4 linked regions of the Alligator mississippiensis genome follow. The protein of the gene in region 1 purifies or fractionates together with the protein of each later gene. This does not show direct contact. Links are inferred from orthologs where the notes say so. Each region holds a gene or a part of one and is shown on either strand. Other genes may lie near its edges.

Region 1 (6,942 bases):
TTTTATTTTTAGTACATATACGAGAAGAACACCTAAAACATTTCCACTTTTATCCCAGTAAAACACAAAAAAGGCTCAAAACTAAATACATACAAAACGCAGATCAAATAATTGTAGAGAATGGGTGTAGTGTGCTATGCCACATAAACATGGTTATCATTTCACATTACTGAGAACAACAAAAAATACAAAAAATAAATCTATCATGATAAAGTATTTTCAAATAACTTGGTTTTGATTTTTTTTATAGTATTAAACATTTCTAAATGACAACAATGGAATTTAAGCCACTTCAAAAGAGAGAGAAATTATTTTTACTCACTGGTGCTTCTGACATTAGGACAGGATGCAAACTCGCTTCAGATTTAATGTGCATCTTGTACGTATGATCCAGAATTGCCTGGAAACTATCCCAGTCTTCAACTACAAACATTACAGCAGGTGGAGTAGTTCAATTAACAGTGACATTTGACTTCAAGTAAAATGTGTAATAAACACACACAACAGAAAGACATAACTTTTATCAAGAAGATCAAGCAGTAATCAGCAAAATTCACAAACTGCAGCAGCTTTAAGAAATCTTGTTTATATGACTCATCATCATAACAGCTGGCAAGTAGATTTGCAGCATGACCTTTAAGACTGTACTTCACACTATTAGCAAACTTGGTAGCCATCATTAGCAGCTACAAGCTTCCTTACTGGTGCATTTGAAGAGCAAGTCTTCACGCTACTCTTTACGAATATTTGCCACCCTTTTTTTTCCCCAGATGGGGTCTAATCCAGTCCACCAAATACAGGAAAACTCTACAGTTTTTCCTCAGATCAAGCAAACGCTCACTGCCTAACTAAGCAGCTTCTTCATAAAATGCATATATGACACATTACTGTTTTGCATGCAAAAGGCATAACTGCCATAGCCGTTCATTAAGTTAGCTATCAGATCTTAAAAGCAAGAGGAAAAGGATAGAGCACCATACTCATTCCATTTTTTAAGGGCGAAATGGCTTCCATGTTTTCCCTTGGGACGCGCAGTGCATTGGTGTCTATGTAGTAAGTGGGGCCCCCTTGTTTGCCTTTATCACCATCTATCTCCATCAGCGTACTGCCATCGTCCCTCTCCAGTACCACACCAATCGCTGTGGGAAAATCGACCTGAAATGTGAACACACATTTGCTCGCTCATAGACTCATAGAAAATTAGGGTTAAAAGAAACCTCGGGCGGTCACGTCTAGTCCCATCCTCAAGATCATCCCAACCAAAGCTCTGTCTAGCCAGGCCTTAAAACCCCCACAAGGATGGCGCTTTCACCACCTCTCTGGGTAACCCGGTCCCAGTGTCTGACTCCCCTCCTAGCAAGACATTTCTTCCTAATATCCAACCTTGACTCCCCTTGCTGCAACTTCAAACTGTTGCTCTTCATTCCGTCATCCACCACTGCCTACATCAGCAGTTCCCAAACCGACCACCTGTTTAAAACGATGTGCCGCCCACAAATTTTTCAGCTCAACCTTCAGTACCAGCAGCTAACACGTGTCACGTCAACTTGTTATCGTGAATAATGACACGAAGTCATTTATCCCAAAGAGTCGTTATAAGGAATAATCATTTCACAAATAATCACATGAAGTCATTTATCGCATGAAGTTGTAATAGTGAATAAAGGTGTTATAATGAATAATCACATTGTAATAGTGAATAAAGTTGTTATAATGAATAATCACATTACAAATAAACACATGAATTAATTATCCCATAAAGTTGTTATAATGAATAATCACGTGAAGTAATTTATTCCATAGCATCATTATAATGAATAATCATGCAAAGTCATTGTAACGTATAAAGTCGTTATAATGAATCAAGTCATCACAATAAACGTGTCGTGGTGCCAGTGACAGATTTCATAGACATTAGGGCTGGGAGGGACGTCGGAAGATCATCGAGTCCAGCCCCGCGCCCAAAGGGCAGGAAGTCAGCTGGGGTCATAGGATCCCAGCAAGATGAGCATCCAGTTTGCTCTTGAAGGTGTTCAATGTAGGCGCTTGAACCACCTCTGGAGGGCAGGCTGTTCCAGACCTTGGGGGCTCGGACAGTAAAGAGCCTTATGTCCAGCCTGAAACGGTCTTGCAGGAGTTTATAACCATTCGACCCTGTCATCCCTTGGGGCGCTCTGGTGAACAAACGTTCCCCCAGATCCTGGTGGTCACCCCTGATAAACTTACAGGTGGCCACCAGATCACCCCTGAGCCTGCGCTTTTCCAGGCTAAAGAGCCCCAGGGCTCTCAGCCTGTCATCGTAGGGTCTGCTTCCCTGATCTCTGATCATGCGCGTGGCTCTTCTCTGGACTCTCTCAAGCTTCTCCACATGCTTTTTGAATTGTGGAGCCCAAAACTGGATGCAGTACTCCAGCTGCAGCCTCACCAAGGCCGAGTACAGGGGGAGAATGACGTCCCGGGATTTGCATGAGAAGCATCTGCGGATGCAAGCCAGCGTTTTGGTCGCTTTACTAGCCACAGCATCGCACTGCAGGCTCATGTTCGTCTGGCGGTCAGTGACGACCCCAAGTCCCTTTCGCCCGTAGCGCTGGCCAGCCTAGCACCGCGGAGCCTATAAGGATGCTGCGGGTTTCCCCCCCAGGTGGAGAGCCTGGCATTTTTGGGCCCCGCGCCCCGCTGCAGGGCTCCCCAGGCAGCCCCGCTCCCCCCGCGGCGATGACTAGGCCGCGCCGCCCCTCACCTTGGGGCAGTCCTCGCCGGCATAGCCCGCCCGCACCGTGTAGGAGCCGATATCGAAGACCAGCGCCCCGACTTCATCTGCAAAGATGATGAACAGGCATCAATGAGCGCCGCCTCCGGGCGCGGCCGCGAGACAGGGCCCCGGGGCAGCCCGCCGCACTCACCGCCCCCGTACACGCCGCCGCTCATGACCGCCGCCGCTCGCCGGCCGATGCGGCAACAATAGCCAGGCTGCCCCGCGCTCGCCCCAGCGGCTCAACGAAACTTGCTGCCGGCCCCGCCCCGCCCCTGCCAGCCAATCGGGGAGAGCCTGGCTGTACCGCTGAGCGGGCCCCGGGCCGCCAGCCAATCGGGAGTGGCGGAAAGAGGGCGGCAGCCGGGGAGGAGCCAATCCAGAGCCAAAAAAAAAAATGGCAGGAAAGCAGCAAGTGTGGTTGCGGAGCGGGGGGGCGGGGCTGCTTCTGCTCCTCCCCGCCCTGCTGCCAGCACTTTTTAACCCTTCAGCGCCCCCAGTTAACCCTTCAGCTCCCAGCATGGACCCTTCAGCAGCCAACCATTGCTCCTCGCTCTGCTTCTTCCTCCTTCCTTCCCCCCGGCTCCTCTTGTGTCCTCACAGCTGCCCCTTCTGCCCAGGGCTGCTCCCCTGTGCCCACCAGGCTCCCTCAGAGGGCAACCATTGCCCATGGGGCCCTCGTCCTGTGGAGGTGGAGGGGCCCGAAGGGGCAGCCCGGTGCCACGGGCCGGCGGGGTTGGTGGCAGCCTGTTGAGCACTGCACAGGCCGCAGAGCGGCAAGCACACGTTCCCCGGGTGCTGCGGGGCGTGTGGCTGCCGCCACCTCCCTCTGCAAGGCCCCGGGAACACATCCTGAACCGGGGGCACGCAAGAGGCTGGGTTTGGTTTCCGGGTGCAAGCGATGCTCTTGGCTTACGTGGATGTTTGGCCAGCGATGGCACCTAAGGAATGTGTCCATGCATCGCACAACCGAAAAGGAAAGCAAGCAGGCCGAGAGTCAGGATGTGTGCCTTTCTCTGGCTCTGGAAAGTGAGCCCCTAAAGGATGACTTTGTTTCTACTTTTTAATTGGTGTCGTCCTCGAACCCTCAGTTTACACAGACGGCCAGCCTGAGTTTCAGTCTGATTCTGGAGCGTCAATGCCTCGAGGCACCGCAGATTTTATCAATCCAGTGTAAAGCCGCTCCGGTCAGTGGGTCCTGCGGCTGACGGCTGCCTGTGAGGCTCGGGTAGCAGAAGAAGGTGAAATACGGAGGGATGGATTTGGTTTCCAGGTACAGTGCTGCTTTTGTCAGCTCACATGGATGTTCAGCCAAGCTCAGTTCTCTCATAAAGCTTCTCAAGGTTCATTTACCAAGAATGGTTCAAGTTTGCAGATGACACCAAGCTGTGGGGCAGCGGGGTCGCACCTGAAGATAGGCTGCAGATTCAGGCGGACCAGGACAGGCTGGAGAGGTGGGCGAATCAGAACTAGATGAAGCTCAACACTGAGAAGTGTAAGGTGTCCAACAATCCCAACATACCTACATGCTCGGTGGCACCAATTTGACTAGCACCACAACTGAAAGGGACCTAGGAGTAATAATCAACCATTGCATGGACATGAGCCATTAATGCGATGCTGTAGCCAGCAGGGCAAACAATACCCTGGCATGCATCTACCGAGACATCTCATGTAAAAGCAAGGAAGTGATTTTTCCACTGTATTCAGCACTGGTGAGACCACAGCTGGAGTACTATGTCTAGTTCTGGGTGCTGCACTTCAACAAGGACGTGGAAAAACTTGAGAGGGTCCAAAGAAGAGCCACCCATATGATCAGGGACTTGGAAGGCAAACCATATGAGGAAAGGCTGAGGAACTTGGGCCTCTTCAGCCTAAAAAAAAGAGAAGGCTGAGAGAGGACTTGGTAGCAGCCTACCGCTACATCAGGGGAATATATTCATCAAGAGCTCGGTGAACAACTGTTCACCAGGGCACCCCTGGGGAAAACCAGGAGTAATGGCTGCAAACTCCTGGAAGACCACTTCAGGCTCAACTCTAGGAAAAACTCCTTCACAGTCAGGGTGTCCAGACTGTGGAATAAGCTCCCTCCAGAAGTGGTGCAGTTGCCATTCCCTGGAAATCTTCAAGAGGAGACTGGACAGTCACCTTGCTGGGGTCACCTGATCCCAGTTGTCTTTCCTGCCTAGTGCGGGGGGTTGGACCCAATGATCTTGAGAGATCCTTTCCAGACCCTAAAAATCTATGAATCTATGGTACCTAATGAATACATGTATAACAAAATAGTAGCCAAAGAGAAAAGAAAGCAGGCCAAGATTCAGGCAAGCTTTTTACTTTTCTGGAAAGTGAGCCCCTAAAAGATGGCCTTGTTTGTAGTTTTTTATTGGTTCCTCTGTAGCCCTTCAATCAGCACAGGCTATCAGCCTCAGTTTCTGTCTTATTTTAAATTGTAAGTACCTCAAGGCACCGTGGACTTTGTAAACCTGCTGAAGTCAGTGGAGTTATTTTGATTACACTTGGATCATCAAGAGCAGGCTTTGATTCATCATCATTACTTGTAAAGCTCCACACTTGTTCTCTATATCAATAAGTCTTAGTTTACTTGGACAAAAACATAATATGTCATTTTAATCAGATTCTCCTTTCACTTACTATAAAATGGTTATATAAATGTGTAAGTTTACTGATTTCAGAGTTATCCCAAGTTTACACTAGGGCAACATCTTTAGACTCAAGAAGACACCCCTCATTAGATTCAAAGCACCCCTTGGAAATTACCAGGTCATAGCTTTCACTCATTTTTTGACTACAGAAAAATAATAGAGCAATTCTTATGTTGCAAAGAACTCAGAAAAACAACAGCAGATCAGACTGTCTTTGACACTATGGACTCCTATTCAAAATCCCTGGGTTTCTCTTGTTCTCCTGGAGGTGTATGTGCCAGTTTTATGCAGTACAGCGTGCCAGCCTTAAAACAATCTCATGGCACCCTGGTTAAGAATCACTGCATTGGATGAGAAAAGTAGCTAGTCAAGTGTTGGCGTGGACTACAATTCCCAGCCTGCTACACACTGAGAGTGGGCTGGTGACTGACGGCCTCCACTTGCGTCTCCTCCTACACCAGTCACACTGAAATGCAGGGAAAATATTAAAACCCAGCAATAGGAGACAGCTGGAGATACAAAAAACAGCACTATTACAGGAGAACCAGGAGATGGTTGCACACAATAGCTCCTAAGGGTAAGCAATTCCTTTCATTTCATTTGACAAACACTGATTTTTTTTTTCCTGTTTCTTTAATGGGGGAAAGTCATTCATAATTTCAGCTCATCCTCTGGTCATTGAGAAAAAAAAAAAACCGTATACTTTTTTGCTGCAATGTCTTCTTCGACAAAACTGGAAACTGGCATTAGTGATGTCGATGTTGCTGCTGGCACTAGAAATATACATGCAAATCCTGTTTTGCCTTGGCTGTACCATGCAAAACTAGACTGGAGTGTGCCTCTTATGAAACATTTTGAAGATACTGTATTATCATGATTTCCAGCATGTGGCACTAGTACCCAAACTAGGATTGCTGGGGGAGGTAGAGCTGATAGGAATTAAGAGAATCAGTGGGGAAAATATGGAATTAAAATGGCAAAAGATTTTCAATTAAATGTTATTTGTATTTTTCCAGATTACTGTCATAATGTTTCATGGACACCATATAATATGTAACCTTTGCAGAGCAACCATAAAGCCAATCTAGTGGCTGCTAGATTATTTCTCCAGCCTAGGAGAATTGTTGGGTGCTGAAGAGCCCCCAAAATGGCTCTTATGCCAGCTGAAGGTGTGTGGCAGGGGGCGTGTGACTGATGTATGCCTGTGCCTACTTGGTCCCTGCTGCTGTAATGGCCATTGGGGACTGTTGGCAGCCACTGCAAGAAAAGCACAGACCTTAGGCTGTCCTTGCCTGCTCTGGGGATCTCTGTGGTGCTAATCAGCCCATGGATTTGGGAAACACAAAGGTACAAAGTGTGCAGTTTAGGATTTTAAATATTCTTCCACTAACGTAGAGAATTCAGCTGTGGGTATGTGCATAATTGCATGTATTTAGATTGCAAGTGCCTCAGGCTAGAGTTGTGTAGTCTTATCTTCCCCTGCTCTGCAATGGTCCTCAGCATCTGTGGAAAGGGGGTGCTGAGTGC
Region 2 (7,248 bases), on another chromosome or scaffold:
CCCTGACACAGTGCTGCCAGGACTTTGGCCTGGATGAACATTCCCTCGACGGGATTGCTAGGCGCACAAACAAGCCCATCGAAGAGCTGAGAGCTGTGATAAAGTCCCCCCTGGGCCAAGAAATCACAAAAGATCTCGTCCTTAAGCTCCTGTCCAAGGCAGTAGGTGGGGCAGTGAAAAACACTTTGGTTTTCAACAATATCCTCCCCATAGTGTGTCCCGTGCTAGGTTCTGTGGTATCAGGCATCCTTTCTTACAAGACCATGTACAGCTTGCTGGAGGGTTTCCTGAATGATGCTGCTGACGACGCCATACGTGTGCTGGAAAAGGCTTCGAAGTGAGAAGCCTGTATGTCGGCAATGGGCCAGCGCTGGCTCTGTGACAGGGATGCAACCAAGTGAAAACCCCTCTGCGCTTTCTCCCCTGCTGCCCCATTCGCGGGAGAGCTGCCAGCAGCCAGCCACGTGCTTCTTCTGCCCTGGGCTGTGACAGCAATCCCAGCAGGCATCTCGCTTCCTTGAGCAGCTTTCCTCCCCCGTGCTGGGCTTGCTTTGCTTCTGGACTTGACGCCGAGCAAGGCCAATGGTGCAGCCTACCCGTTCAGGTGCCTGAGGGAGTAACGGGGTGATTGGAGACTCCCGCACATCCCCATGAGCTTGGCCATCTCTGCCACGGGGCCGTCTCCTCGGCATGAGCCTTTGCTTCTCTGAACAATCATTCAGTTTTGTGTCCAGCTTTCAGGATTCCTAGGCTCCGATATTGCCTCCTTGCGGGTCCCAGCCTGGGCCCCTTTCCTTCCCAAAACTACATCATACTTTAATTGCAGTGACCCACATTTACTTTGCATCAGCGGCCCATGTCCAGTAGTCGCTGCTCGTGAGGCAATGTGGTTTGGGCCCAGAGACACTTTGGACTTGTCCTAAGGGGAGCTCTTCTCCACAAGCGTCTCTCTCCGGTTCCTCCCAAGACAGCATGTGCCTGTATCTGCAGAACTGGGCTCCCGAGCTGAAGGCCTGTGGGCCAGATCCACCCATAGGGCTGGGAGAGGGGCAGGGTGCATGGGGGCAGGCCTGCCACTGCAATCCAGGGGACTGAGCCTCAGGTGTTACCTGGCTGCGTGACACCCATGGCTGCCTCCACCGCTCACCTCACCAGTGCTGCCTCGCCGATCTGGCCTTCGGGGAGCCGATCCGGCCCTCGCCAACCTGGCCCTTGAGGAGCCCCGGGGTCCAGATGCAGCCTAGGCACAGAGTCAGTCCGACACTCCTGCTGGACAGCTTTGGAGGAGAAAATGAGGCAGGGAGTGCAGTGAGGCTGCCCCAGGGACACACGGCGGAGTGTCCGTTAACCTCGGGGAAAGACCCCCTGGGCCCCCCCGCTCCCCCACATCTGCCTCTGCTTGGAGACGGCGGGGAGCAAAACCCCACGCCTGGGGTGGGAGCTTCCGTAGGTCTTCGGATGCTTTGGAGGAATAATTTAGGCCGTGTTAGCATGAGCGCAGTTAATCAGTAAACCACCTGCTACTGATTGTGAAGAGTCCAGGATTGCTTTCTTGCTATTCCAGGTATTATGAGCATTTTACCTTTTGCGGCTGCAATAATCACGTCGTGGTTAGACATCGCTTGCCTTTCTCTGTTTTTAACTGTCTGTTTTCTCAAATTAAGATTTACATTAAAGTTTCCTTATAACGATTCCTGTAGAGTACTGGGGTTCATTAGGACAAGCTTCCTGAGCCTGCTTTGGGTTGGTCATGTCACCATGGGCACAACAGGTCAGTGCTTGGTCCTTCTAGCAGAGAACATGGTGAAAACCTGTCTGGTCCCTAGCTAAAAACACTTGGCACAGCCATGAGGGGCACTTGTTCCCCTCCTAAATCAAAAGGCAAATAGCAGCAGCGCACACACTCCTCCTCCCAGCACGAACCTCCTGCTTTGCTCTTCTTCCCTCCCATTACTAGCTCACCCCATAGCAACCTCTACCTCTCGTTTGCCTATCCCTTAAGCACTCCCTTGGGATACATATGTTGTTTTTAAGAACCGGCCCCCTGTGCAGTGCCCTGGCTGGCCCCGAAGTGCAACCGTCTGGTGCTGCACGGGAGGAAAGAGCCCTGGGCCTTCCTCCAGCTGGTTATGGGGTGTCACTACTGCTCACTACCGTCACTACCTTGCTCACTACCATCCCAGACTCCAAGCCAGGATGAAATGGTTCCAGTTCACAACTGGCCATCTGCGTCCCCAAGCAGAGATGACAGCAATTTAACCTGACCCACAAAAGCAAGGCCAGACTGAGCTTCCCAAACCTGGCCTCCCCAAGCCAGGCTGGATATGGGTGACTATTTGCAAAGCCGGTGGCAAACTTATCGTGGCGTGCTGCTGTAACCACTGTTTTTGGGTGTAGAGACTTTGGGTTAAGCAGGCCATTCACTGCCTGGCATAGTCCCGTGGGTCGGCACCGGTCAGACACTGGCAGGGGTGAGGAAATAGCACATCACAAATATCACGAGCCTGATACCAGTGCACAGCCCTGGGTCTGGCCCCTCCATGAGTCCCACACGGCCTCCGTTTGATTCCCCCCAGGATGCTCTTTCTGTCTCCTCTGTGCTGTACCTGCACCCGCCCAGCCCTCCATTTTATACTGCTGCCACCACCACACCTGCTCCCAGTCCTGCCCGGACCCCCGAGCCCTCCAGCCGGAGCCTCACCCCTTTGTTTCCCCCAACACCTCCGCCTGACCCCTCGGTCCCTTTGTGCTACCCTGAAGCACCCCTGGGCTGGCCCTCCACAGCCCCTCATGTCCCCCCAGCCCCTCACCTGGGCCCCTTCTATCCCCTCCACTTCCCTTGCAGCCCTGAGGCCACGGCCCTGCCGGGCATGCACCTCACCTCCCAACAATGCCACAGGCCTCCCGCTCCCTCCATGGCGCTCACCACACTCCTGCCACGTCCCTTTGCAGCACCGTGGCTCGGCCAGATCCCACCTGCCCAGCAGCCGGGGCTGGGCTTGTCCTTGTCCCGGCTGTGGGAACACCCAGCAGCTCAGCGTGACCCCAGTCTCTATGCCCCACCACCTGCCATCCCTAGCCTGGCCTCCCAGCCCTTTCATTTTGAGCCCCAACACCTCCCTGATGGCTCCGTTACTTATGGGAGCCTTACAAAAAAGGCATTTGCCAGGGCTACTGTGCAGCAGCTGGATTTACTGCACATTTAATACTGCAAGTACTAAAGTAAATGTGTAGCAACGGCTGCACATTATTTTTTTTTTGCAAAAAATATTTATTTCTATAGCTAAATAAACATATATAATGATATTAAATTTTACCAACATTAAATATTAAATATTATATATATATATTACATATATATATATAACTACTGTGCATTAATGAATGTGTAGACGCACACAGTGAGAATTAAAACCCTGGCCTTTGTCCTGCAGGGGTCAGCACAGCTCTCCAGGATCACAGCCAAGCGCCCTGGCATCGCATCATCATTTCCCCTGTCCCGGGTGAATGGTGGGGGGACTGCCAGGTGCTGAAGGGGGCCATAATTTGGCCCATGTCCTTGCACATGTGGACCAGAGAGGGAGCAAGGAGAGGTGTCTTCAGAGGACAAGCCAGTGCCCGGCTAGCTCAGTCGGTAGAGCATGGGACTCTTAATCCCAGGGTCGTGGGTTCGAGCCCCACGTTGGGCGCATGCTTTTCTTCTCTTTTCCCCCTTCCCTTTCCTTAGTCCGTTTTGCAACCCAGCCCCGGGCAGTGAATCACGCCCCTAAGGGCATTAAAGCACCGTGCAAACCTTTGCTGAGCCTGCCCAGACTCCTGCTGGAGGCACAAACCAAGGTCAGATGGAGCCCGAGGCTTTCCACGTGCAACCCTGGAGCGTGCCCGGGAGCTCAGGGGGAGCAGTGTCCACCCACAGTGCAAGCGCAGAGGGCACGCACACACTAGCTGGCTGCCGGCACTAGGCAGCACACTTCGCAGACCCTTCTTCCTGCAGCCTAGCTAGGAGAGCCCCCAGGACTACACGCCCCAGCATGCCTCGGGGCAAGCCGCGCCTGCGCAGAGCAGCGCCGGGGGCGCGGACTCCGCCTGCACAGAGCAGCTCCGGGGCCCGCCAGCCGGACTACAAATCCCGGCACACCTCTTGGTGGACCACGCCTGCGCAGAGCGGCGCTGGGGCGGACTACAAATCCCGGCCCGCCTCCTGCTGAGTCGCGCCTGCGCAGAGCGGCGCCGGGAGGGGGGGGGGGGGCCCGGCTGCAAGGCGCGAGGCCCCGCGGGGGGCGGCGGCGGGAGCGTCACTTATAAATGGCGCCCAAGCAGGACCCCAAGCCCAAATTCCAGGAGGGTGAGTGCGGGCCCCGGCGGGGGTGCCTGGGGGGGCAGTGGAGGCAGGGTGCGTGTGGGGGGGGCAGGCTGGTCGGGGGGCTGTGTTGGGCAGGGTGTTGTCTGGCGAGGGGCTGGGTGGGTGTGGGGGGTGTTTGTGGGTGGGTGGGGTATATTGGGGCAGGGTGGGTGTGGGGTGATATTGGGGGGGGCAGGGTGGGTGTGAGGGGTGTTTGGGGGAGGCTGTATTTGAGGGGCCGGTTGGGTGTGGGGGGCGTATGGGCTGGGCAGCGGGATGCTGGGAGCTGCGGGGCCGCGGCGGCTCGGCTGGGCGGAGACCCTGCCCTCGCCCTGCGCCGAGCCCCCCCCGTGCGCGCTGCCAGCGCCTCGGGCACAGCCCCACATCCCCCCCCACCCCCCCAGCCGCCACCTCTGCGCTGGGTGGGGAGGGCACGCACCACACCAGAAACAAAGGAAATGGCATTTCTCCGGGAAGACGAAGCAGCGGCTGCGGCAACCCCGGAGGCGAGGGGAGGCGGCTGCGGGTGCGTGTCCCGTACCTACGGCCAGGTGCTGCGGCAGGGCCCTGGCCCCGCTGTCCTGGCCAGCGCCCGGCTCGGGGGCGTCCGCCTGGGCAAGAGGCCTAGACGCTCCATTTTACAGGAGCTTGCAGCCCTTGGGAGGCTTTCAATGAGGCCTTTAGTTCAGCGAGGTTTGGACTCCCTCTCTGGGAACACAGGGCAGTCTGGTGGCTACAGCTCCCTCTTTTTTTGTCTTGATCCGATGCCAAAGCTCAGTTAATATCCTCTCTGTCTGCGGTTTTTTTCCTTCCCCATAGCTTTCAGCTCATCTGTGAGCATTGGCGGGGGTTTCTGCTCCCCTGAAAATGAGCCTGTATTTTGTTTTCTCACTGGGACGCAGCGAAATAATCTGCTGGAGACCAAACTTTCCTTAATAATAATAATAATAATATTATTTAGTAGAACTGCAAGGATTTTTCACTTCCTGGGTTGGGAAGTATGCATTTACTTAAGTTTTAAAAGATAATCCTGTTAGGGTCTTGACTCCTGCTTTACAATAGGCCTTTTATTACATCTGACTTCAGGATATTGGAAAATACAGTGTGGTCATTATAACGGTGACTTGGAGCGCTGCTGTAACTATAGTGGACTCTGTGTTGGCATCACAACCCCTGTTTTTTTGTTTGTTTTTTTTTAAGCGTATGAAGTCTTAATTCCAATTAGGATGTGACACAACAGACACAGTGTCTTGAAAGATGCAGGGTTTTATTATACAAGATCTGATTTTAATGTAGCTGATGGATGAAAAGTCAGGAGATTTAGCTAAGTCTTGACTGCTTCTGAGCAGTGTTTTGTGTAATACCGTTGCTGGCTTCTAAAAAGAGCCATTTGCTATAGATGGTTAAAGTAGGGAGCTGGTTAAAAAAGGCAGTAATTTTACATACTTTGTAGCAACCTTTCAAAACCATGTTCAATCACATATCAACACTGCGTCCCACGGTTTGATATGTAGAGCGTGGCTATTGTGTAAAAACCTCAGGAATTTCGAGAGGATTATGGTAAATGTTGCGTTATAATCCTTCCACTAATATTGGATTGGGTGGAGTGCAACATTTTGTATAAAAACACATCAGTAAAATTCCAGAGGGAAATGAAGCGGGTTTGTAATTTAGGGCATTTTAAAACTTTGGTCAGAAAAGAAAACTTCCATAAAACCATATTTTTAGAAAGCCCTAAGACCAAAAATAAGAGTTTTCACAATCGTGGAGGAGGAAAAAATGTAAAATGAGAGGGAGCAGTAAAAAGTGCTTATGTTTAAACTCGTATCCCCTGTAATGGCCCGAACTCAAATATTCAGACTCTGAAAATAAACCGTGTAAGCGATTATCCCCGGCTACAAAGAATAAATGGAACATGAGCAGCGAGAAGGGAATTGGATTTTTAATCCAAGACATGGAGGAACAGTAACTTGCTTTTAAAAGATGATTTTCATGTTGAGTCTCCCTTTAACAGTGACTCGCGTAATGCAGCCATCGTCTACTTTCTCCGAGATGATCTTCTAACTGAGACATTTTGGAAAGTGAGAGGGAGTATGTATGGCTTTTTATAGACGGCTTAAGATTTTTTTTTTTTTTTTTTAAAGGGGTGCATTTTGTTGCAATTTAAACATATAGGTGGAAGGACTTGTGGCACTTAAATGCATGTATTGAGAGGTCTTAAATATGATATGCTGCTCTCTCACTTTACCTTAAACAAGAGACTGAGTAACCTTTACATTTACACTTGGACTTAGGGTATTTTTAGTAGATTTCTGTGTGGGGCATTTTTACGGGAACTAGCAATTGGCATCTGATTCGACCTGGCTGAGGTTAAAGGAATACTTCCCTGGTGGGGGTGAATCGGGTTATGTATCTGGGGGGAAAATAAAGGTTCAAGTGAGAAGTCCAAGTTGTTGGGTGGGGGAGAGGGGTTGGGTAGGTGTGAGAACTGGTGCCCCTCCCCCCCCCTATCAAATTTAATACTGTTTCTCTCTCAGCCACTGCCGTGAATGCTTGTTTTCTCCTGCACTTAAAAACCCTCCAGTGACTGAGCTTCTGCAGCCTCTAGGTCATTTGTTCCAGTGCCTAATTATGGTCACAGTTAGAAACGTCTTCCTAACATCCAACCCAAAAATCCCTTGTTGCAACATAAGCCCATTACTTCTCTGTCCACTGGGGACAAGACAAGGGAACCATTGATCACTTCACTTTTTTTGTAAAAACTTTCTATTTGAAGACTATAGCAAATCCCGCCCCTGTTTAGAAAGAAGAAGAATGCACAATTCTTCCAGCCCTTCCTTGTATGTCAAGTTTTATAGACCTCTAGTAATATTCATTGTTCTCCTCTTGATTCTCCAGTTTGTCTG
Region 3 (7,546 bases), on another chromosome or scaffold:
ATGAAACTTCAAAGAGAGAAAAGAAACAATTCACCTAGGGTGAAACTGAGTCGTAATATAAAAGAGTTACAGCAAAAATAGAACTTTGTATAGAGGCAGGACTTCCCTTTATATGCTGTAAGAATTTATCGTGTTTACCTCTCTCCATTGTGGCAGCAGCCCTTTGCTCACGTGAAGCAGCTTCTCCATGGGGCAGTGGCCCAGGGCGCCTTCCCCGAGAAGCAATGCTTTTTTTTTTGAATGAAACAAACTTGAATAAGTGCTGAAAGCGCCTGTAGTGGGCTATGCTCTGCCACTTGCATCGGGTGTTTGATGCCAGGCTCACTCACACCAACTTCTCCTTGTATCTTTTCTCCTGCATCCTCCTCCTCTTCCTCCTGCTGCTTAGATTGCTTGATTATTTTCCCCCCCAATTAAGAAAGAATGAAAAGCACTTACAAGTGCAGAAGTCTGAAGGGGAGTAGGTTAGAGGTGCCAATCCAGTGGTCTCAAGTCTCCATTGAACTTACATGGAGGAGCTACAGCTACTTTTCTCCTGTAGCAGTGAATCATATTGCAAGCCCTACTCATTAGGTCTGATTTGGAGACGAGTTTCAGCTCCTAAAACTATTCATGCTCTGTATATATAAAGTTTGAATACCCAGACTTCGTATTGATAGAACAGATTCCACCCACTAGGTTTATATAACCCCTCCCCTACTACCCCGCTCCTTTTTTTAATTTTAAATGTTGGCTTTAAAAGTAGCTGGCAGTGCCTTGTTAAGTCTGTCTACCTATTTTATTTAAAGATTTTAAAATCATTTTCATCTTCTTGCATTCTCCTGTGATTTCAGTTAATGATGAAAGTGTGTATGTTTTGGTGAGCATGTGAGGCAGAAAATACAATTTGTGATGGTGCAGGATAAAGGTTTTATTACCACGAGTAATCAATGGTTGCATTAATTGCAAGTGGTGAAGCCATGAGTGAATAGGTTATTCTAAACAAGAATCTATAATAGCTGATGCAGCATACCAGATCCTTCTGTATTTTTATGATGCATGCATTCCTGGGACAATATTTTAGAAATGTTTGAGGTAAAACTTACTATTTGTATGCCTTTGCCAGTAAAGCTAGATGCCTTAGTTGCCGATTAGCTGTATTCTGCAATGCTCTGATATTGCAGAGCTGCCCTCTAGCTGTGTAAAAAGACTCTCAAGTGGCATAACAGTCCTGTAGATAGATCTGTGCTGACCATTGGTATATGAGATGTGGCTGGGAAAAGCAGGCAGTGTGGGTTTCTTATGGCCAGCTTATGGGCCCCCATGCCATTGGCTATACTGTCAGTCAATTTGGGTTGTTGGGAGTTGGGACTGGCCCAACACCTACATGACTTAAGGTTCAAGGAAGCACAGATATGGCTTAGAACTATATTTTCAGCCTTCTCCACTGCCTGCAGCTCAGGGGCCTATGAGTCAAACAGTACAGAACCCTGAGAGACTCATTAAACTCACAGAAATGACCTACAACAGCTTTTTGCTTTACCTTTAAAATATTACCATTTGATGGTACAATATCCTAGGACTTTGCATGGTTGGATGTCTCACCTTTCCAGAGCACAGCTCATAGGCCTTCTTTGACTCTGCAGGCATTTGGGATACGTTAACTTATTTATTTTTCACATATAAAAAGCTGTCACTGTTCTGAGACAGAATGATACTTATTTTGGGTCTCTGGCTAATATGCTAAGCATGCAAATATTTGGTTGAAATTTGCTTCATAGTAAACAGAAGAACCACCAACATTGTGTGTGAGGGCTGGCTGTACACCTGAACGCAAAGGTGTAGCTTGTGGGGAAAAGAAATAACTTCTGGAACAATATACAGTAACATAGTATCTTCTGAAGGTGCTGGGGGTAGGGGGATGGGGGAGGGCAGAGTATAAATGATATATAGAGATGGATTAATGGGAAGAGTATAGGTGAAACAACCAAAGGAGTTTGATATAATCCTCACACATGTAACTGCAGTTCATCATAAGATTCCAGAATGAATTATTATATATAGCATCTAGGTGTCAACTTTCTGTAGGCAGGTGGGTACCACAAATATAAATAAATGTTATGTGAACAAATCCATGACCACCTGGTGTCCCATGGTGGTAGTGTTTAAGTTTCCATGGAAGTAAGATTTTTTTTTGTGAGGATGGAGACAGAGCCAATTACCTCCCACAGTTTTAGCTACAGGAGTGGTTCTCAGCCTTTTTAGACTCAGTGAACCCCTGATTAGGCTCAAGGCACCCCTCTGTAACTTTTGCAAAGTGAGTGGCACCCAATTTCAAAACCTACTGTATTTATTTCAGTACTGACCTCTGTGCAGAGGGGCCAGGCAGTGTGGATGGGGGTACAGCTAGGCAGGGAGTTTCCCCGTCTGCTTATCTTTTCACGCCTCACTGTCAGTATATCCTTACACTTCCTATGGCATCCCAGGGTGTCCTGGCACCCTGGCTAAGAAGCAGGAAGCTAACAATCTCTGCCAGCAGGATAGGGCTTATGCCATGCAGTGAAACAGTTATGATGTCCTCTACCTTGGATCATTGGTACACATACACATTAACCTGTTCGTTTCTGTTTCATATATATCACTTGCCCATTTACAAACGCTTTTAAGTTTGTGGATGATCTTCCTTGCAAGCCAAGCATAAGAAGCCTGTTGTACTCAGTGTTAGCTGAGTGCTTACTATATTTTATAGAATCATACAATAACACTTACTTCCCATGACTATGTTTTGGGATGTCCCAACAGCTTGGAAATGCTGTGATGCATGAAAATCTGGGTTCTGTAGAGAAGTGCTTTTAGCCAAAAGGCTTATGAGGAAAGAGTAGATCACCTTCAGGGACAGAAGGTGATCTACTTAGATGAAAGAGTAGATCACCTTCAGGGATAGAAACTTGGCACAGTAATTTGTTTAATCTGTCAGCTAATGAGGCAACATTCTTGAGAAGAGGGACGGCAGACACATTTGAAAAGACTTGATCTAGCTTTTTTGAAACAACCCTAGGGCAGGGAAACAAATGTGTACTCCATCGTCTCTTTATTTGACTCCATCCTTCCCTCCTTGTATCTCCCCTCTTGCATCTTTATCTTGTTTGCAGCAACTTTTTTTTCTGCTCACCCCTTACGTCGAAAAAATTCCAAGGTATAAAAAAATAAGATTTGTTATAACCATTTTGGCCCTTTCTTAATTCAGCTCAGTAGTCCAGAACTGCTGCCTCTACTTATTTTGCCACCTGAATATATAATGAATTATTGATACTTCCATTGTTACTCTGGTTGTCTGAATGATTATAATCAAATCTTTATTCTTTTCTCCCTCATGTTGGTACAAAAGCAGTGTAACTTCTTTGATTTCACTTGAATTTCTCTTGATTTGTGATCTTCTGTTTACACCAAAATCAGGCCTATGTTTCATTTTTTTGAGGGTCAGAGGATGCCTGAAGGGAAAAAAGACCTTTGAGGTAGTGAAGTTTTGCATGAAAAAACCCTCCACTAATATCAAACCAAACTTTGTGGGTCTGATTCAGACTTTTTTTAGGTCAGATTACACTGGTGTAACTTCATAACTTTAATGGAGTTGCCTCTAAGATGCACTGAGATCACAACTAGGCATCTTGCGAACCTCTTAGCTCATGTTGGATTATTCACTTGCAAAGTCTTAGTTACAGGCAAACCCAGACTTCCTGGAGTTTGGTGACTCTCCTGTCAGTCAACTTTAACGGCACCTCATCTGCTGCAAAACTACTGGCCTCCAAGTTACTTTGCCACCACAAAACTAGGCGTCGTAAATATGAAAGTTAAAAGCCTTCCTCCTCCCTTTCTCTGCTGAAGGATCAGATGACTTGGTCTCAACATGCTAGCCCAGGCGATTAACTTGAGAAGTTGCTTTGTGGGAAAAACAGAAAACAAGCAGGCAGTTGGTTTGGCCACTGTGCATTATGTAACCAGTGCACTGGCTGCAGGAGCTGGATGACTGACATTGAGAAATTCCTAGGGGAGGGGGGAGGGGGTGCAGCCCTAGAGTCACTGTGAGCACTAGCATTTCCAAGAAGCCTAAAGAGGAAAATGGCTTTCAAGAAAGGGAAACACATTGGGGAATAATAATGAAAAGCTTCAGGATCTAATGCGGAATCAAATGTCAATACCCATGTAATTTATTTTCCTGGTGAAATGGCATGCATCCAATCCTGGCATGTGAAGAAGGGGGCATGCCATCTGGGAAATGCAAGGCAGCGACAGCAAGGCAAAGAGACAATGAATGACCCATGCTTTATCCCCTACTCCTCTCTCTCTCTCTCTCTCTCTCCCTCTCTCTTCTTTAAAGAAACAGTGAGATAACTGCAAAAAGTCTTTCCCTCCTCCCACTCACCCCCCCCTCACTCAAATTCGGGGCGGTGACAGCCCTAGGAGTGTGAACTGCCCCTTTAAGACCTGCTCTCTTCCAGTTCTACAGAAAGGGAGTGACCTCTGGGCTTTGACAGCTCCCCTAATAACTAGCAGAGACCGAGCTCCGCCCGCGGCCCCTGATTGGACCGCGGGCCGGTATCCCGCGCGCGGATTGGCTGGCCGCTTCCCCTGAGCGAACCTTTAGAACTCCGAGGCACAATATTCTGTTACATTGTAGCAAAATGGCGACTGTCATTCACAACCCCCTGAAAGCGTAAGTAGGAATCAAAAATGTACATATTCCGCGTGGTTTCAATATGAAAAAAGGCGCCTTTCCGCCGCTCGCTGCCAGCCGGAGCCGGGCGCCTGCAGCCTCCGCGCGGCTCTCCCCGGCCGCCCTCCTCGCTCGCACCCACTCTCTTTTTGTGCCCCGCGCGCGGGCGCCCGGCGCTGAAATTAACGAGAAGAAATTGTTATATTTGTCTCCTTAATTGGCTCGGGGGGCTGGAGGGGAGGGAGGCGGGGAGGGTGGCCCCGGTGCTGCCTGGCAGATCTCCGGGATGCGCGCACCTGGGAAACGCCGAGATCCCGGAGGACCCGGCGGGGCTGCGTGCACTTGCCAGTGTCCTGCGCCCGCTGTCTGGGCGCCCGGGGCCGGGGGAGGAGGCTGGGCTCGGAAGTCGGCTGCGGCGCCGCTCGGCTTCGCGGCGCTGCCACCCGAGCCAGGACTTTTCTTTCGCAACTGGCGCGGAGTTGGGACGAACTTGGCGGAGCGGGCTGGGAGCGGGCCGCAAGGCCGGCGGCGCAGATCCCCGGGGGCGGGGGCACCGCGGCAGTGCTCCGCCACGGCCGGCCTGACACGAAATGAATGAGCCGGGTCAGGGCTGGCCGGGGCACGGCAGGAAGTGCGGAGCTCTGCTTTGCATGTGAGCGCCTTTCGCTTTGACAGGGGCCCGCGGGGCTCGGCTCTGTTTCCGGCTCGGGAGGGACCCGCGGAGCCCCAGCGTGGCCGGCTCCGGCCGCGGGGGAGCCCGGGCGGCTGCTTGCTAGGAAACGAGAGGCGGAGAGTCGGGGGCAGGTGCCTGCGCGGCACAAACCCGCGGGGCTGCCCGAGCTCCAGGGAAGGCGGCTTTAAAGCAGGAGGGAGGGAGGAAGGAGACACCAGAGCAGCCGCCTTGCCCCGGATCGCGTCCCTGCTTTCCCGTCTGCCGCTAATCCCCGACGGCATTAGGGACAGTGGGGTTCGCCCCGGCCGTGGGGAGGCCAGAGGCTGCCTTAGCCCGGTGGAAACCACTTCCCTGCCCGCTCGTGGCACCTGGCGCGGGCGCCCTGGAGTTTTTAGCGATGCGATTGCGGCGCCCTCGCAACTCCGCTCCCTCGCAGCCCCGTTGGAGACGCAGCCGGGGGCTTTTCCAGGGATTCCCCGCTGCTGTCCCCGAGCGAGCTGGAGCGGGGCACGCAGCCGCCGCGTTTACCTCTCTCCATTGTGGCAGCAGCCCTTTACTCACGTGAAGCCTCCTCCCTACGGGGCAGCGGCCCGGGGCGCCTTCCCCGAGAAGCTGATGCTTTTTTTTTTTTTTTTTTTGAAAGAGAAAGAAACCTGAATAAGCGCTGAAGGCGCCCGCAGTGGGCAGTACTCCGCCACTTGCACCGGGTGCTTGATGCCGGGCTCTCTCTCATCAACTTCTCCCCGTGCCCTTTCTCCCGCAGCCTCCTCCTTCTCCTCCTGCTGCTGCTTAGAGCGCTCGAGTATTTATTTTCTCCCAATTAAGAAAGACAAGACAAGAAGAGTTAGATCGTGCGCATTCATTGTTGGCAACTTAGGTGCCTGAAAACAATCTCGACTATACACAATACAGGTTGTTGGGTCTGTCTTTGCCCCTCTCTGCGGGGGAGGGGGGAGCTGAGTTTATTTACACCCTTATGGAAATATGAAGAGTTGGAAGGTTGGGTCTGGTTCCCCTTTTGGGAAAGTCATTCAGGCGCCGCTGCTCTTACGGGCGAGCTGCCGAAAAGGGATTTGAACCTTACTGTAGAGAGAGAGAGAGAGTGTCCGCGCCGGGCTCCCCTCCTGCTTTCGTGGGGGCCAAATGGGGATAACTCCGTTCAAGTCAATGGAGGAAGCCGGCGGGAGAGTGCAAGAAGAACGGGGGCATGGTACGAAGGTGTCACCCTTACTGCAAGACGTGATTATGGACCATTAGGTTGCCCCCAGATATATTTGGGGCGCTCATTACCTCCACACAGTAATTTCTAACATCAGCTGATAGATCCTGCCAATGTTTTGTGTGCACTTACATTCTTTGGGGGCCTAATCCTGTTGCCACTGAAGTCAGTGGGAGCAGGGTTGGACCCTTTATAATTAGCTCTTCCCCCCCCCTCCTTCCCCTGGGGTGAGAGGAGAGGAAACAATAGGCATCAAGTGCAGGGTTTGCTTTTCTCTGTATGCCTTTTAAAGTATGAACACTGTGCAGAGGGAGCAGGATTGGAGCGGGCCGTCTGACACCATCTGTCTTTTTTATTAACTTGTTTAATAAAACATTTTATAATTTTCATTTATTCTTTAAAGTTGCTGATCAGGAAACAATACACATGTAAATAAATTATGCATGGGATAAATTAGGACAAAAGCAGTAAGACACATAATAGGGGGGAAAGGATGCAGTGCACAGTGTTTTAGCCTCATGTGTCCTTCCTGACAATGAAAGGGAGCTGAATGACATTTGCATTTCCTCCGTCTGCGTTTTGATTGTGTCTCAAAACCCACAGACGCCCCCTACAGAAACTGGCCACACAAAGGTTTTGCTCTGCGATAGGGGACAATGTAGATACTATAGGCTGAAATCCTAGCTCAGGTATCATAGAATCATAGAAAATGAGGGTTGGAAGGGACCTCAGGAGGTCATTTAATCCACCCCCCTGCTCAAAGCAGGACTGTCCCCAGCTAGATCACCCCAGTCAAGGCTTTGTCTAAGCTGGGTCTTAAAACCGTCCAAGGATGGAGATCCTATCCTATATATTTTATGCATTTATCTACGAACAGTGTTCTATCTTCAGCACAAAGACACATGGGTTACTCTGTTTATTGGAGGCTAGTCCTTGTGGGATAACATATTCCAATATAGCT
Region 4 (7,112 bases), on another chromosome or scaffold:
AACAACCCCAAAAACCCTTAACAACAATGCTGTTTTCCCTTACCTTCTTTTACAAGGATTAATGCCTGAATACTGTAAAAGTATTGGTTTATTTTCTATGCATCTATTCACTATTACTTTTCATACTTTTGCTCCTTTTATTTTATAAAATTTGCTTTGGCCAAGCAGAAGGCTGTCTTACGGCTGTGAAAGGTATATGGTGTTCATACTGGACCACCTAAACAAAGATGGCCTAGGGATCTGCACAGGTGTCAGAATCAACAACAGTAAGTTTAGAAAATTGTAACGTTAATCTGGGAAACTGATCCTAGAGCAGAGTTCTAAATTTTATCAAAAAAAATCAACATTCAGTAGGAGTATATAGCAATGGTTTATGCAAAAGGAACCAGTACTGTATTAAATAACATACATTTTTAAGAAATAATAACATTGAAGAAATGATCAAAATTTAAATACAAAGTTGCAGTTGTACACTTGTAAGACTAAAAACTTGATCTAGTCATTTTGCAACAGATAATATGCATGGCAATTACAGCTTTCTACATTATATGCATTTATATTCATAATTCATACATATGGAGAGAGCTTTTGGAAAGGATCATTTGAATTTAACATACACTACCACTCATCATCTGAGCAAAGATAGCAAAAGGTATATTTCTACATTATTTGCGATCTAAAAAACTGAACCATAGTTGCTTTGTGTCGTGCTTCACTTGCACAGACTGCAGTGCCTTCTGTCTACTTTAGGGTGTGGCATCTGCCATTGGGGAGGAAAAACTGGCATGTGTTGCCTTTTATAACAGACTGATTTCATTGTGCTGAGGGCCTCTATTTTATAGCCTTTTAGTTCCAATCTTGTAGCTGACTTGCTGAAATAAATGGAAGGACACATTTTAGTATAAACTTTTCAGTGCTGAAGAGTCCTCACTTTTTTTCCAGGGAAAATATTTTAAAAGTAAATCTGTGTTAAACTTTGTGGCTTATTTTCCTGTTCAGAACTAGTTACCAAGTAAGTCAGAAAGTATTGTAATCCTCAAGTGAGCTACCTTCAGTACATCTTATCACATTTTTATATATACCCGTATACACACATACACACTTTTACATTAATGTCTAAAAGCATAAATGTGTAATTGATTTTGTATTTGATTTTAGAACACACACATAAATAAATAGACACAAGTAGACCTCTATATTTATATTTGCATATGAAAGACTTCAAAAATCAACTTATGTGGTTTAATGTGTATAATTAGTGTGTGTTTGAATATGGAAAAGAAGAAAATCCAGGAGAAAATGTCAAAAAGGCTCACTAACAAAGATGTAGTATTCTCTTGGCAAAAGCTGATGAATGATTTGGCATGAATTCATCTTACAGTTCTGTTATTCTCTTTTCTACAAAGATGATATACCCTCTTTCTCGCAGTTTGCATAGAATTGCAATTTGTTGTTGTTGCAGGCTGTAATGACCCTTGGGTATGCACCTGATTCCCCCCACTAGAATTACTCACCAATTTTTTCCACACTCTCGTTTTCTGCTAACCGTATAACATTTCTACACTTGCAGTACCAAAAGAAAAAAAAAAAAGCAAGGTTGGATGTAGCTGAAATACAAGTGTTATCAACACATAGTTGACAAATTCTGAGACTTGCAAACTAACTTCATAATGGAAGTCCTAATATTTTCTGATTTTGCTGCACAGCAGTTAAGAAGTCAATAAACACCGGACATGCGTTGTTCATACATGTTTCAATAATCTTTGAGTGTAAGTCAACATTATATCATGAAGCTTCTGTTTTTCAATGTTTTCACAATGGACACAATATGCCTTCCTATTCATAACACTGTCTTCCAGAAAATACAGCTGTTTAAAACATTGTGATAAAATATTTATGCCAAGTAATGAATTTAAATCTTGACAAAATAACATTAATATCCTATTTTGCTGATGTCCGGAAAAAGCTAGTTGATTTTCCCCCTCATTTTACCAGTTAAATCTTGCATATGACTGTTACCTTTATGTATATCAAGTTATTACGTGAATCAAAGCAGTTATTTAAAAGAACTAACCACCAGCACTTGCCGAAAGGGCTACTATATAAATGAAAGTCATTATTATTAATGTAACAGTTTAATGCTGAGTAAATGTTGCTTTGCTCACACACTGTACTTTATATTACTACATTTCCACTAACATCTAGCCTATCCTGGAATAATGTTTGTGGATGTGATTGTAACACTGAAAATGTTTTACTCTCTTTAAGTCCTCTTGATCTGCATAGAAATACAAAGGATGTGTTGAAAACAGCCCCAAACCTAACAGTTACATTAAAGACATAATTAGTTCAAACAATCCCTAGGATTTTGAGCCAGCCGGACACTAGAGACAAGTGCGAAAATGCCCGTCGCTGAATTTCACATTGTATTTTACAAACCTCTGCACACCAAAGACATTGTTGTAAAATCGTATTTTATTTTTTCATCAAATCATCACAGCCAGTACACTGCATTCCTCTTAAGAATAGCAGGAGAAAGCTTTTGAACACTGCAAGGTGGACTCAGAAACAGGTTAGAGGTTTGGCAAATTTCACTAGGTTTTTGTTTTTCTTCTTAACCCAAAAGTATGCAGCACCCACAAGGTGTTTGGGTTGTTCTCTTGCCCCACTTTAGCTCCCAGACTACATTTGACCAGGACCCAAAACATACTTAGGAGGAGAGCTAAATTCCTTCCTGATGGAAGTGCTTTCTATTCTAGCTGAGTTTTATCTGTGCTGGATTTGACCCACGGCTGCCTAGTTCTTGGCTTTTGGATTTAGAGGAACTGGAGCATCAGTTTCATACACGATTAGGCTCTGTACAAAAGATGAGGGAATGAACTGGACCAAGTGAGTTTTCTCCCCACCCTCTCTCTGACACTAGGGTCACCCCTCTAGCTCTGTATCTCTCTAACACTAGGGCAGTGGTTTCCAACTTGTGGTCTGCGGAGCCCCGGGAGCCTAAGGGGTCTGTAAAAGACGACTACCATCAATTAAAAGTATTAAGAATACCTGCACACTTACAATTCAAAGGAGTCCGCATCTCCATTCAAAACTTCCAAAGGGGTCCGTGCCTCCATTTGAAATTTTTTATCAGTCTGCAAATGAAATAAAGGTTGCAAACCTCCGCAGTAGGGTAACCTCTCTCTCTCACGCTAGGGTCACCTCTTTCTCTCCCTAACACTAAGGTTACTTTTCTCTCTCTCACACTAGGGTCACCTATCTCGCTCTCTAGAACTAGGGCCACCTCTCTCTTTCTATAACACTAGGGTTACCTTGCTCTCTCTCATTATCTCTAACACTTGGGTCACCCCTCTTTCTAACACTGGGGTCACTGCTCTCTCTCTAGCACTAGGGCCACCTCTCTCTTTTTCTCTCTATAACACTATGGTCCACCTTTCTCTCTCTCCAAAACTAGGGTCACCTCCAGTGCTGTAGCAAGGGATTGGTTGAGTGGGGTGGCCACCCCAGGCACCAAAGTGACAGGGATGCCAACAGGCCCTGCCTAACTGGGCCGGGGGTGGGACAGAGCCACAAACAGCTCATGGCGGGGAGGGGGGGCATGGGGACACGGGGAGGGCAGCTCTTGCTGCTGCATTCGCTCCTCGGCAAGTATGAGGGGACATGTGCTTCCTGGATCTGTGCATGAGACAAGGGCGGGCTGCTGCTGTGGGCTTTGCCCCACGTGCCAAACTTCTTTGCCAGGGCCCTGGTCACCTCTCTCTGTTATGCTGCGGTTACCCCTCTCTCTCTCTCTCACTCTAACACTAGGGTTCCTGCTCCCTCTCTGTCTCCCTCTCTCTAACACTGGGGTCCTTGCCAGGCAAAAAAAGAAAAAGAAAAAGAAAAAGAAAAGCGGGGAGCCCAACCTTCCCCAGAAAGGTGCGGGACTCCCGAGGTAGCCTCCTCTCCTCTCCTGCCCTCCCCGCGCGCGGCGGCGGCGGCTGCGGAGCAGGAGGGAGGGAAAGTCCAGTCCGCGTTTTCCAGGCGCGCGGCGGCAGGCCGAGAGAAGTGGATAATAGTTGTCGGAGCTCGCTCTCTCTCTCTCTCGCTCGCTCTCCCATGCCATGCTGGGCCGGAGCGGCTCAGTCAGACGTGTATTTCCCCATATCCGGGTGAGGGAGGAAAAGGCAAGAAAAAAAAGTTTCATTTAAAACCCGAACCAACAAAAAAAAAGGAAAAAAAATCCCCCCCCCTTGAAAAAAAAAAAGAAAGAAAGAAACCCACCACCACCCCCGCTTGCTTCCAGCAGCAGCAGCGAGGGAGGCAGCCGGAGCAGGCACGGACCCACGGCCGCCCCGGACACGCGGGGAGGGGAGCTGCGGTAAATTTCGCGTGTGCGGCGGCGGGCGTGTGCGGGTCCCCTCCCCGGAGCCCGTCTCTTTCCTCTGCTGCGTTTTTTAATTCTTCTTCTTCTTCTTCTTCTCTGTTTTGTGCGGCTCCCCCCCCCACCCCTCCTCCTCCTCCTCCTCCCCGGGCCTCGCAATGTTGCCATGATCATGGCCGCGCAAGTGGCAGCGGCTCCGGCGGGGGCGAACAACAGCAAGGGCAAAGCGCCGGGCTTGCCGGGCAGCCTGAGCCAGGAGCGCGGCGCGGCGGCGGGCGGCGGCGGGGGCTCCATGCTGGGCGCCGGGGACGGCGGCGGCCTGGGCAGCGTCCTGCAGCACCGCGCCGAGCTGGGCACGGCCAACAACGCGGACAAGGACGGCGGCGGCGCGGCCCCGATGGACGCGGGGCTGCTCCCCAACCACAAGCTGAAGGGCGGCGAGGCGCTGCACCCGCACCATGCCCTGCACCATGCCCACCACCACCACCACCACCACCTCGGCGCCTTCCCGCCGCAACAGCAACAGCAGCCGCCGCCGCCGCCGCAGCAGCAGGCGGCGGCTCCGCACCATGCCATGCAGAAGAGCGGCGCTGCGCAGCCCAGTGCAGACATGGAGCAGCAACATGGAGGCAAGGACGGCGCGGGGGGCGCCCAGGCCGAGCCGCCGCCGCCCCTGCTGAGCAAAGGCGGCCCGGAGGAGGAGGAGGAGGAGGAGGAGGAGAAGCTGGGCGAGCCGCGCTACGAGCACCCGGCGCTGGGCGCGCAGCAGCAGCAGCAGCCAGCGCCGCCGCCGCAGCAGCCAGCGCCAGCGCCGCCGCCTCCCCCCGGCGCGGGCAGCGGCTTGGGCGCCGACTTCAGCGCCTACTTCGGCCCCGGCGCGGCCCCGGGCAGCGGCGGCGGCGGCAGCAGCTCCGCCGCCGCCGGCCGCGCCGGGCCTTGCTTTGATCAACATGGCGGACAACAAAGCCCCGGGATGGGGCTGATGCACCCCGCGGCGGCCCCCAGCGGCATGGACCCCCTGCACAACTCCCATGAGGGCTTCGCCAACAGCCAGTACAACCACTACCCCGGCTACGGCCGGACCGGCGGCGCGGCGGCAGCAGCGGCGGCGGCGGGCGCGGGAGGAGCCAGCGGCGCGTATGCGGGCTCGTACGGGGTGCTGAGCTCGCCCCGGCAGCAGGGCGGCGGCGTGATGCTGGGCCCCGGCGCGGCGGGCGGCCTGGGCAAGGCGGCGGCGGCGGGCGGCGGCTTCCAGCGCTTCTCCAGCCAGAGCCCGCACCCGTCCGGGGCCACGCCGACGCTCAACCAGCTGCTCACGTCCCCCAGCCCCATGATGAGGAGCTACGGCAGCGGCTACGCCGAGTACAGCAGCCCCGGCGCCCCGCCGCCCCAGCCCCAGCCGCAGGCGCAGGCGGCCGCCGCGGCCCCCGGCAGCCAGCAGGCAGCGGCGGGCATGGGCCTGGCCAAGGACATGGGCTCGCAGTACGGGGCGGCCAGCCCGGCCTGGGCAGCGGCGCAACAAAGGAGTCACCCGGCCATGAGCCCGGGCAGCACCGCGCAGCCCCTCAGCAGGACCCAGGTAACCGCAGGGTGAGGGCCAGGGGTGCCCTCCCCTCCCCTCCCCTCACGCGTGTGGGCGGGCGGGCGGGTGGCAGGAGCCCCGATTTCTTTGCCGGGTTGGTTGCTTGTTGCTCAACTCTATGGCAAGGGGGTGTCCCCATGCCCGCCTCTGGCTAGGCCGGGGAGCCTCTGGGGTGGGCTGGATGTAGGCCGTGGGCTGTGTCGCTTTTTTTTCCAGCTTATTTGTGCCTCCCCTCAAGCCCCCAAGCCTTTGCCGTCTGTTTTGAGCCAGGGATTGCAGGGCCCCAGTCCCAAAGTGGGGTGGGGAGGGTGGGAGAAGGGATGCAGAGGGAAGGTGCTGCTTTTCTGACCACTCCAGCAGCGCCTGGGAGCGGATATTGATCAGTCTCCATCAGGATTTTTTTTTTTAAATTTGTCTCTTTCTCCCCCCCCCAACCCTCCAGAGCAAAGAGCTCTGTCCTGCCTTTTTACCCAGATGAGTTCATTGTTGGGAAGGCGCTCCAAACACTGCCAGGTTCCTTCTGGCGGCTCGAAACGTGCGTGCCGTAGTGGCGAAGGGTCCCCTGATCCGCCCCGAGATCCGTCCTAGACCTCGCTGGTGCGCGCGTGTCTGCTCCCCGAGACAAGAATAACCCGTTGGTAGAAGTGCGGGGGGTGTTTGGAGCAAGCCGTGCCCGTCCAGGCATGCATGGTCCCCAATTAGAGCAGCAGAGTCCTTCCTTTGTAGAAACAGGCCTAGCCCCTGAAAGCCCTGCTTGTTTGGACGAATGCAGGCGACTGATTAGCTAAATCCAATATATTACTAAATCAATAGATAGCAAATGATTGTTGGATGCTCTGTATAGCTGGCTATTTTTTTTTTGTCCTCCTCCAAAGTCAAGGGCTTGATTAGAAAGGGCTTTGCGCTCTTGGTGTTTCTTGCTAGCAGTCTGAACCTAAAGAGTGACTTGATCTCCTTTGCAAGGTTTGGAATTTGAATTGTGGAGGTAAACTGGCTGTAATAGTCTCCAGACAGCTGCCTCTGAGTTGACATCTAATCTGCCATCTGATTGGCTCCTCTCTCACCATTGGGCATTTAGCACTGCTGATGTAAATAGAAGTGCTGAGCAATACAGTCACAAAAATTCTTGCCACAAATAATAACTGAGCAGTAGCGCTCACAGAT

The links.
Region 2: the proteins of ACTL6A (region 1) and MORF4L1 purify together in Homo sapiens (affinity purification with mass spectrometry; 6 studies listed by BioGRID and IntAct, with this or other methods). This does not show direct contact. The link is inferred for Alligator mississippiensis from reciprocal best matches to the Homo sapiens genes ACTL6A and MORF4L1.
Region 3: the proteins of ACTL6A (region 1) and DPF3 purify together in Homo sapiens (affinity purification with mass spectrometry; 4 studies listed by BioGRID and IntAct, counting the BioPlex papers as one, with this or other methods). This does not show direct contact. The link is inferred for Alligator mississippiensis from reciprocal best matches to the Homo sapiens genes ACTL6A and DPF3.
Region 4: the proteins of ACTL6A (region 1) and ARID1B purify together in Homo sapiens (affinity purification with mass spectrometry; 5 studies listed by BioGRID and IntAct, with this or other methods). This does not show direct contact. The link is inferred for Alligator mississippiensis from reciprocal best matches to the Homo sapiens genes ACTL6A and ARID1B.

Annotation. Positions count from the first base shown.
Region 1 is NC_081830.1:80,466,110-80,473,051, reverse strand, and holds the start of ACTL6A (actin-like protein 6A), read right to left. Parts: upstream 3,013-6,942; 5' UTR 2,929-3,012; coding exon 2,904-2,928; intron 2,818-2,903; coding exon 2,741-2,817; intron 1,156-2,740; coding exon 981-1,155; intron 424-980; coding exon 323-423; intron 1-322.
Region 2 is NC_081834.1:2,028,412-2,035,659, forward strand, and holds the start of MORF4L1 (mortality factor 4-like protein 1), read left to right. Parts: upstream 1-4,243; 5' UTR 4,244-4,305; coding exon 4,306-4,345; intron 4,346-7,248. Other genes in the region: interferon-inducible GTPase 5-like, read left to right, coding at 1-341. UniProt on the Homo sapiens protein: Component of the NuA4 histone acetyltransferase (HAT) complex which is involved in transcriptional activation of select genes principally by acetylation of nucleosomal histones H4 and H2A.
Region 3 is NC_081825.1:235,931,496-235,939,041, reverse strand, and holds the start of DPF3 (zinc finger protein DPF3), read left to right. Parts: upstream 1-4,527; 5' UTR 4,528-4,661; coding exon 4,662-4,693; intron 4,694-7,546. UniProt on the Homo sapiens protein: Belongs to the neuron-specific chromatin remodeling complex (nBAF complex).
Region 4 is NC_081824.1:135,152,881-135,159,992, forward strand, and holds the start of ARID1B (AT-rich interactive domain-containing protein 1B), read left to right. Parts: upstream 1-4,110; 5' UTR 4,111-4,532; coding exon 4,533-5,945; intron 5,946-7,112. UniProt on the Homo sapiens protein: Involved in transcriptional activation and repression of select genes by chromatin remodeling (alteration of DNA-nucleosome topology).